Oreochromis niloticus: one gene and its partner. The main gene of each other region encodes a partner of the protein of the gene in region 2 in a complex. Links are inferred from orthologs where the notes say so. Each region holds a gene or a part of one and is shown on either strand. Other genes may lie near its edges.

Region 1 (3,753 bases), on a different chromosome or scaffold from region 2:
AGACCCGACTCTAGCTTACACTTGATGTAAACCTGCAGCAGTCTTGCTTCCTAATAGTAAAAGAACCAACATTTGAAAGCTCAAAACTAAAATAACACCGACACTTTCTAGTTTGCAGTTTTGGATAGAAAATTAACAGAAAAAGACAGAAAAGCACTGCTTTATCAGTCAAATATTGCCATCTGCAAATACTGATATTTACTGATATCAGGAAATAAGAAAGTTGCGATGTTTATCTGTTGTGTGACCTCAGTTTTTTTGGTGGTGAAATGTTAAAAAAAAAGTGATGAAGGACTGAAAAGACTTCAAATTGTCTCAGTTCTTTCTTTAAAATCAACATTTCCTAGTTTTCCTAACATTATGGGGAATACACAACAGTAATACACAACTGCCCTCTGGCAGACGGTACAGAAGCCTGCAGACCAGGACCACCCGACACAGGAACAGTTTCTTTCCCCTCGCCATCTCCCTCCTAAACAGTTGACCTGTCACACTGCTCCCCACTGCCAGACTGCAACTGCACCTTATGTACATTCTGTAGTATTCATTCCACCTCATTTCATTTCTGTATTTTATGTATATAAGTTTAGTTATTTATAGTTGGTTTACACAGCTTTGTGTATGTATGTGTATGCATGTGTAATGTATATATAGACGTGTGTGTGTGTGTGTGTGTGTTTTACATTGCTGTGCTTGATAGCCACCATCTACCGGAACCAAATTCCTTGTATTTGTCTGCACATATACTTGGCCAATAAACACGATTCTGATTCTGATTCTGAAAAAACTGAAAAAAAAAAAAAAAAAGTATTGGTATTCACTATTAGCCAAACTTTTATTTAAAAATTTGCCACCGGGACACCACCATGGTTGGACTCAACTCTGATGGAGATGAGAGAGCATACAGGACGGATGTAGAGAACTTGTCCCTCTGGTGCTTAGAAAATAACCTGAAGCTAAACGTCCTTAAAACAAAAGAACTCATAATGGACTTCAGGAGGCACAGACAGGTCCATTCCCCACTGATTATAAATGGAGAACGGGTGGAATCTGTCTCCACCTTCAGGTTTCTGGGCACCTGGACCCACAACACCATCACCCCGGTAAAGAAGGCCCAGCAGCGGCCGCACTTCCTCCGTGTCCTGAGGCAGAAAAATCTGAACCGGAAGCTGCTGCTGGCCTTCTATTCTAAACATTCTATTCTAAATTATTTCGCAAGCACCTTTTGTGCACCACTGCTGGCTGAGGACGAAGCGGCTGCAGGTTCAGGGGCTGGAGGGACGGACGCCTTCTCAAAGTCATCCAACGCACCTGAAAGAAAGCGATGACATTAGAACCAATTCAGTCAAAATGCATTTAATGGTTTCATATTCACTGACAAATAATTATCCAGTTATCCCATTGCTATGGGTTTGTCCCATTGCTATGGGATAACTGGGATAACTGATGGGCAGGATGTCAGCATATGACATCCTGCTGCAGCATATGATGCTGCAGCAATTTTTCTGAACTATAAAATTGTCTATTCTATAAAATTCTTGTTTTTAATCAACTCATTCTGAGTTCAAAATAAAAAAGGATTATTTTCATTATTAAAGAAAATTAGCAAAAGCATAATATATTCACATTTTAAAACACAAAGGCAGTGACTTTTTTTTTTTTTTACTAATCAATTAATCAACAATCACTTCATTCTTCAAACACTCATTTTGACCTTTAATTAGCAAAACACAACAACCTGCTTAATCTTAAACTGACCACAAGAGTGGCAAAGAAAGGTTATTTAAGTAACTTAGAATATGAAATGGTTGTTCAGAAACTGCTGATTTACTGGGATGTTCCCACACAACCATCACTGCGGTTTAAAGAGAATGGTGTGAAAAGAGAAAAGATCCAGTGAGCAGCAGTTCTCTGGGTGAAAATGTCATGTTGATGTCAGAGGTCAGAGAATAGCCAGGAAGCTTCGAGCTGACAGGAAGGCAACATTAACTTAAATAACCACTCAATGCAACCAGTCAACACAGAAAAGCATCTCTGAATGCAAAATACATCAAACTTTGAAGTACAAGGGCTACAGGGGCATAAGACCACGCCAGGTGAAATTCCTGTCAACGAAGAACTAATTTGAAAACTAGAAGCTTAGAAAAGGTTTGACTGGTCTGATGAGTCTTGATTTCTGCTGCAACATTTGGATGGAAGGGTCAGAATTTGGTGCACATAACACAATAATATGTTGTCTTATGTAAGACAAATGATGACTTTAAATTGAAGGAAAAATATATAAAGTGGTTTGAAGATTTTTAGCCCTTTTCTGATTGTTTTATTATTGTTATGAATGTCTTTTATATTGAAAACCTACTGTTGAGAAAATAAAACTGTATATAATTTAGCCTTTATACATATTTGGAAAAATAAAACACTTTAAATCCTAAGCTGGGTTGTTTTGAAAATTTGCCTTGAACAAAATATGTCGTTAAGGAAATTGACTCCGTGTTCTGTGCAGATACACGATGAAGGGCACAAACTGAACCCGGATAAAGTTATCTGACAGCAGAGACATGAAGCGATTCGTGCTGACGTTTCTTCTTGAACATTACTTCTGCAGATCTTTGGGACCCGGGCAGGAGCACCTGACGTTGAGCTAAGCCCTGACACGGTGGAAGCACAACAACAACAAAAAAGGACACGGCGACACCACGAAGCTGCACGAAAATCCCACTGCTGTGTTCAGAAATACACACACTGATAAAATATTAATGCCGAGTCTTACTGTCTAATAATTCTTCCAGCTCTGCATCGTGTCCATCGGACGACCCTCCTGTTCCTGACGCCATGATGTTGCCTTCTCCAACCCAGCGCGGAAACTGCCGCTTCTGCTGTAAAAATGTCGCGAACACCTCTACGTCACTCACCCGAGTCTGATTTTAAATGTAGCGCCGCCTCGTGGCCGGTTAAATATTTTACTCTGGAGTGTTGTTTAGTGTTATGGAAAACGCGCACACAAAAGCACAAATGTTTACATAATACTTCCTGTATTTAATTTCTGTTTTTATTAGAATTTATGTGACTTTTTAAATGTTTTCTATTTAATTGTGGTCACCCTTTTGTGTCATTTTCACTGTACAATTTGCCTTTATTTCATTGTTCTTTGAGATTGTCTTTATTTTAAAGTATCCTACTTTTATTAAATTATAAATATTTTACAGATTTTGTTTGGACATGGTGTTTATCCCATCTTCACCTCGTTGTTCTTATTATTACAATGGACAAATTCTGTATCTGTAAATGTCATTGATAAGAAACCACACTGCTCTGTACATTTAGTCAGTTTAAAACTCGCAAACATTAAACTACAGTTGTTTTATTTGAGAGTCCTGATAGAGAAGTATAGGGAAGATTAAAAGGACTTGAACTGTGGATCTAGCCAAAGCGTGTGATAGAATGAAGTCAGGAGTGGCAGAGAAGTGTGTGAGGGTGGTGCGGGACACGTATAAGGACAGTGAGACAGTGGTGATGTGTGCAGTTTAACTGATAGATGGGTTGAAGGTGGGGGTGGGATTATATCGGGGTTTAGCTCTGAGCACCTTCTTGTTTGGACAGGTTGGCAGATGAGGTCAGCCTGGAGTCTCTGTGGACGTCGATGTTCGTGGATAACATTGTGATCTATATTGAGAGCAGGCAGCATGTGGAAGAGAGCCTGGAGAGATGGAGGTATGCAATGGAAAGAAGAGGAATGAAAATAAGTAGAAGGCA
Region 2 (3,753 bases):
GTTAGAAATGAGTACATGATAGGGACAGCTCAAGTTGAGCAGTTTGAAGACAAAGTTAGAGAGGCAAGGCTGAGATGGTTTGAACATTGTGCAAACGAGAGGAAGTGGATATACTGGACTAAGGATGTTGAATGTGGAGCTGCCAGGCAAGAGGAAAAGAAGAGAATCGGAGAGGAGGTTCTTGGATGTAGTGAAAGAGGACATGCAGAGGGTTGTGTGACAGAAATGATGCTAAGGATGGGATGAAATGGAGGCAGATGATCTCCTGTGGCAACCCCTAAAGAGAGAAAAAGAAGACTGCATTATATGGTCCAAAAATGCACCACTTACATCACAATGTCACCTGAAACAATCCCTTTTAATGCTGTAAGTCTAGCATTTTGGGGTCTGACTTTTAGGGGGTTGCTGTAGCAAATGACTTTATAGTTTTATTTATTTGTTTTTCTTATTTATGAAATAGAGTAAATAAGTAGTATCTTCTTGCTGTGAATTCATTAAGTATTGTGATTTCTGAAGGGGCCCCGGGCAAAGCCATATTAAGCTATTATCTGGTGGCTGAATGCAAATCCGTTTCAACAAGTAGGGACTTACCACACCTCGTGACTAAGCTGTTGGCTTTGTTGTATAGATTTTTTTTCTTGTTCTTTAGGCGCAAGGGTGGGTTCAGCTGAGGAAATGATGAAGCTGACATTAAGTCTAAAGGTAGAATAGGCTCTACTATGACAAAAACAAAACAAACAGACAAAACAAATAAAAACAATTTACAAAAAATAAGTTTTCTTGGCAGTGAAAGAAAGACAGTCATCAACATTGACCACGCAGAAGTCTTAGTCTAAGATCTACTGAAGGTGTGTGAGCATGAGAATGTGCTATGAGGAAGCTGAAACCGAACTTGATGTGCTTTTATATTGTAGCGTTTCAATAACAGACAGTAAGAATGGGGAGTGAAACTTTGGAGTGAGACTCATCCTGCAGTGTCCCGTACTCCCCTGCAGGAGGCAGCAGTGCATCTTAAAGCATGTTGCGTGGTAGAAATATACCAGAATAAGAAGTGTGGCAGAAGGAACAGAAGAAGAAGAAGATGGCATCCAACGACCAAGCTGAGGCAACAACACAGGTCTCTATATGCATTAAAAGCGGTTTCTTTTTAATGTCTATTTGCGGTAGTGAACTGTTTTAGATATTTCGGGGCTTTAGATGTCTTAACGTTGGCATCACGTGCCTGGAAATGCTCACAAAGTTAGAGATTAGCATGCCTACTAGTTAGCATGCTAGCTAGGTTACGAGTCAAAAGTTGTCACTGAGACATGAGTGTGTTTACAAGTGGGCAGGAAGGGGCGTCATTTAGAGTTGCCATATTGTGTCGAAAATAATAGGGCATAGTTACTAGATTTGCCATTGTCATCAAACGATTCAGCTGTACAATTGCATCTGAGCGTGTAGCCTCGTCTTACTGTGTGCAGATAACTGTAGGTGCAACTCAAAGGTCAGTGTAGGCAAACAAACCTGATGGTTTCTGTTGGGTTGCAGTCACAGTGTTGGCTTTGAACTCACCAGCCCCCCGAAAACAAATGTCACCGAAGGTTTTTATTCATGTATGTCACCCGTGACTTCTGTACTTTTTGTTGCTACAGCTGAGATGCTGTTTTCAGAAAAAAAGATGTTTATATATGCTGTAGAGAAATATAAAAGTTTTTTTTATGTACATAGTTGAGAGCTAACGGCTTTAAGTGTATAGAAAGTGTTTACCAAATGCAGAAACTAATAAAGTCAAGGAACACTGTAATCAAGGAACTTGTGTGGATTGACAGTATTTACAAGTACTTGTAAAGTTATCACTCAGTTTATGAGCAACAGATTTCTACAAATCTACAAATGAATGCTGGCATGTGCCAGTTCAGTACTTTTTTTCTTTTTTGAAAATGCCATTCACGTAGCAGACAGGTCAAATTTCTCAGTGTGGGCAAATTATTTCTGGAAGTAAAAGAATCTGTTAAGCTATAACTATAGTCTAGTTATGTAAGTTGGTAGGCTTTCAAATATATTCTAAAATATTTATCTGACTCCACTTGAATTTGCTGGTTTCATGTTTGGACGTTACTTTTTATATAAGTAGCAATGACACTTTTAATAAAAGTTTCAACGTGACATAAGGCTGGAAGCATTTTCACATTACAGGCATGGGCCTGTTCAAGTCTACAATAGTTTTTCTGTTTCCCCTTCATCTGTGTGAGTTGCTTAGTTACAATAAACACTTTAAATACATTTTTATTGTTTTTAAAATTCTCTAAACAGTAACTGTAGCGTAGGAGTTAGAGCAGCTCATCTACTAATTGTAGGCATACAGACTGTTGCTCAAGTGTGCTTGCCAAAGTATCCTTAAGCAATTTCCTAACCCAAGTTGCTTTCTAATGTGTTCATCAGAATGTGTGTGAATGTTCCATAGAAAGTGCTAAGGCCTAGAAAAAAGTGTTTGTATGAATGGGCAAATGAAGTGCTTTGAGTGCTCAAATGGAAAAGCACTATATAAGAACCAGTCCATTTATATCATTAATGTTTTCTTTCCCAATCTTGTGGAAATGACAAATAGCCTTTTTTTATTTATTTATTTATTTTCCTGCCCATAGAACAAAATCTGTCCATATTTTACTACAAGCACTGCTCCATAAACGTCACAGTGAAATGGATACCCTTCCACAATCAACTTATTTGTGTTGTGAATTTTCCCTTCTTCACAATTTCTACAGTTTCCCATCTGTTACTGTACATAGGGAAATGTTTATGGAGTACAGCATGAAGCTAAACTCTTCACCATGATGAGAACAGGTTAAAAAACTTCTGAGTTATGACTGTAGTTAACTTTTGACAGAAGCTAACAGGAAGTTAGGTAGGTAGTTAGTTTGATGCTTGCAGCTGTTTCTAGAACTCTGTCTTCTGAGTTTATTACGTACCTGCAGAATCATACAGCAGCACAATGCATTCAAAAGCTTTTCAAATGCACGAGAGTTGCTCACATTTATGCACCCGACACCACAGAAGTAACTTCAGTCACAGTAAATTATCCCCAAAATTCAGGCAGTTTTGATCAGGATCTAGCAGCAGATAATATTGTGTTCTGTACTTCACACAGGCTCTGACAGGGTTCAGTCTGTATCTAACGGGGATCCTAATAAATGAAACTATTTTTAAGTGTAAGAGTTGCCTGATCAGTTTGCAAAAATTTGCCAAAATGCGAAAGAGTGCTGAAGCACTTTGCATAAATGTTGTTGATATGCCTGAAAGAAGCCGTGAGGCCTATTATTGTAAAAGTGTCCCATACCTGAATAACCGAATACTATCACTTTAATAGATAGAGCCAGCAACGTTACATACCGTGTGCTTGTAAAGGGCGACCATAGTTACCAAGCTTCAAACTGACATTACTTCTGTTTTCCACTAGATGGCACTCTAATACAAATGTTTGTTTATGTTCCCAGCCTGGCCTTCTGCCTGGAAAAGATGGAGCACGTAGCCCCAGAGAAGAACTGGTAAGAATTTATTCCTTAGTCTGAATTACATGAATTATTGGTAAGGAAACATTGACTGTAACCACAAAAACATTAAATGAAGCTAATGTAAGTAATGTAAGTGAGAGCTGGAAAGAAATAGCAGCTTGGATCAAACGATGCAAATATTAAATTACATTTCCTGTAAAGAAAACAAAAAGCAATGAATAGGGTATCATAATGGCTGGAAATAATATTTCAGATATTC

Evidence for each region.
Region 1: the proteins of pex14 (region 2) and pex19 are in contact, whole or in part, in an NMR structure (PDB 2W85), measured with the Homo sapiens proteins. The link is inferred for Oreochromis niloticus from reciprocal best matches to the Homo sapiens genes PEX14 and PEX19. Residues at the interface, in NP_004556.1 of Homo sapiens: Leu28, Thr31, Ala32, Lys34, Phe35, Asn38, Ser39, Arg40, Val41, Ser44, Thr48, Phe52, Lys56, Leu58; in NP_002848.1 of Homo sapiens: Gln67, Phe70, Phe71, Leu74, Phe75, Ser77.

The regions. Positions count from the first base shown.
Region 1 is NC_031982.2:26,257,159-26,260,911, reverse strand, and holds the start of pex19 (peroxisomal biogenesis factor 19), read right to left. Parts: upstream 2,903-3,753; 5' UTR 2,835-2,902; coding exon 2,771-2,834; intron 1,312-2,770; coding exon 1,223-1,311; intron 1-1,222. UniProt on the Homo sapiens protein: Necessary for early peroxisomal biogenesis. Acts both as a cytosolic chaperone and as an import receptor for peroxisomal membrane proteins (PMPs).
Region 2 is NC_031984.2:22,474,652-22,478,404, reverse strand, and holds the start of pex14 (peroxisomal membrane protein PEX14), read left to right. Parts: upstream 1-976; 5' UTR 977-1,081; coding exon 1,082-1,117; intron 1,118-3,476; coding exon 3,477-3,527; intron 3,528-3,753. UniProt on the Homo sapiens protein: Component of the PEX13-PEX14 docking complex, a translocon channel that specifically mediates the import of peroxisomal cargo proteins bound to PEX5 receptor.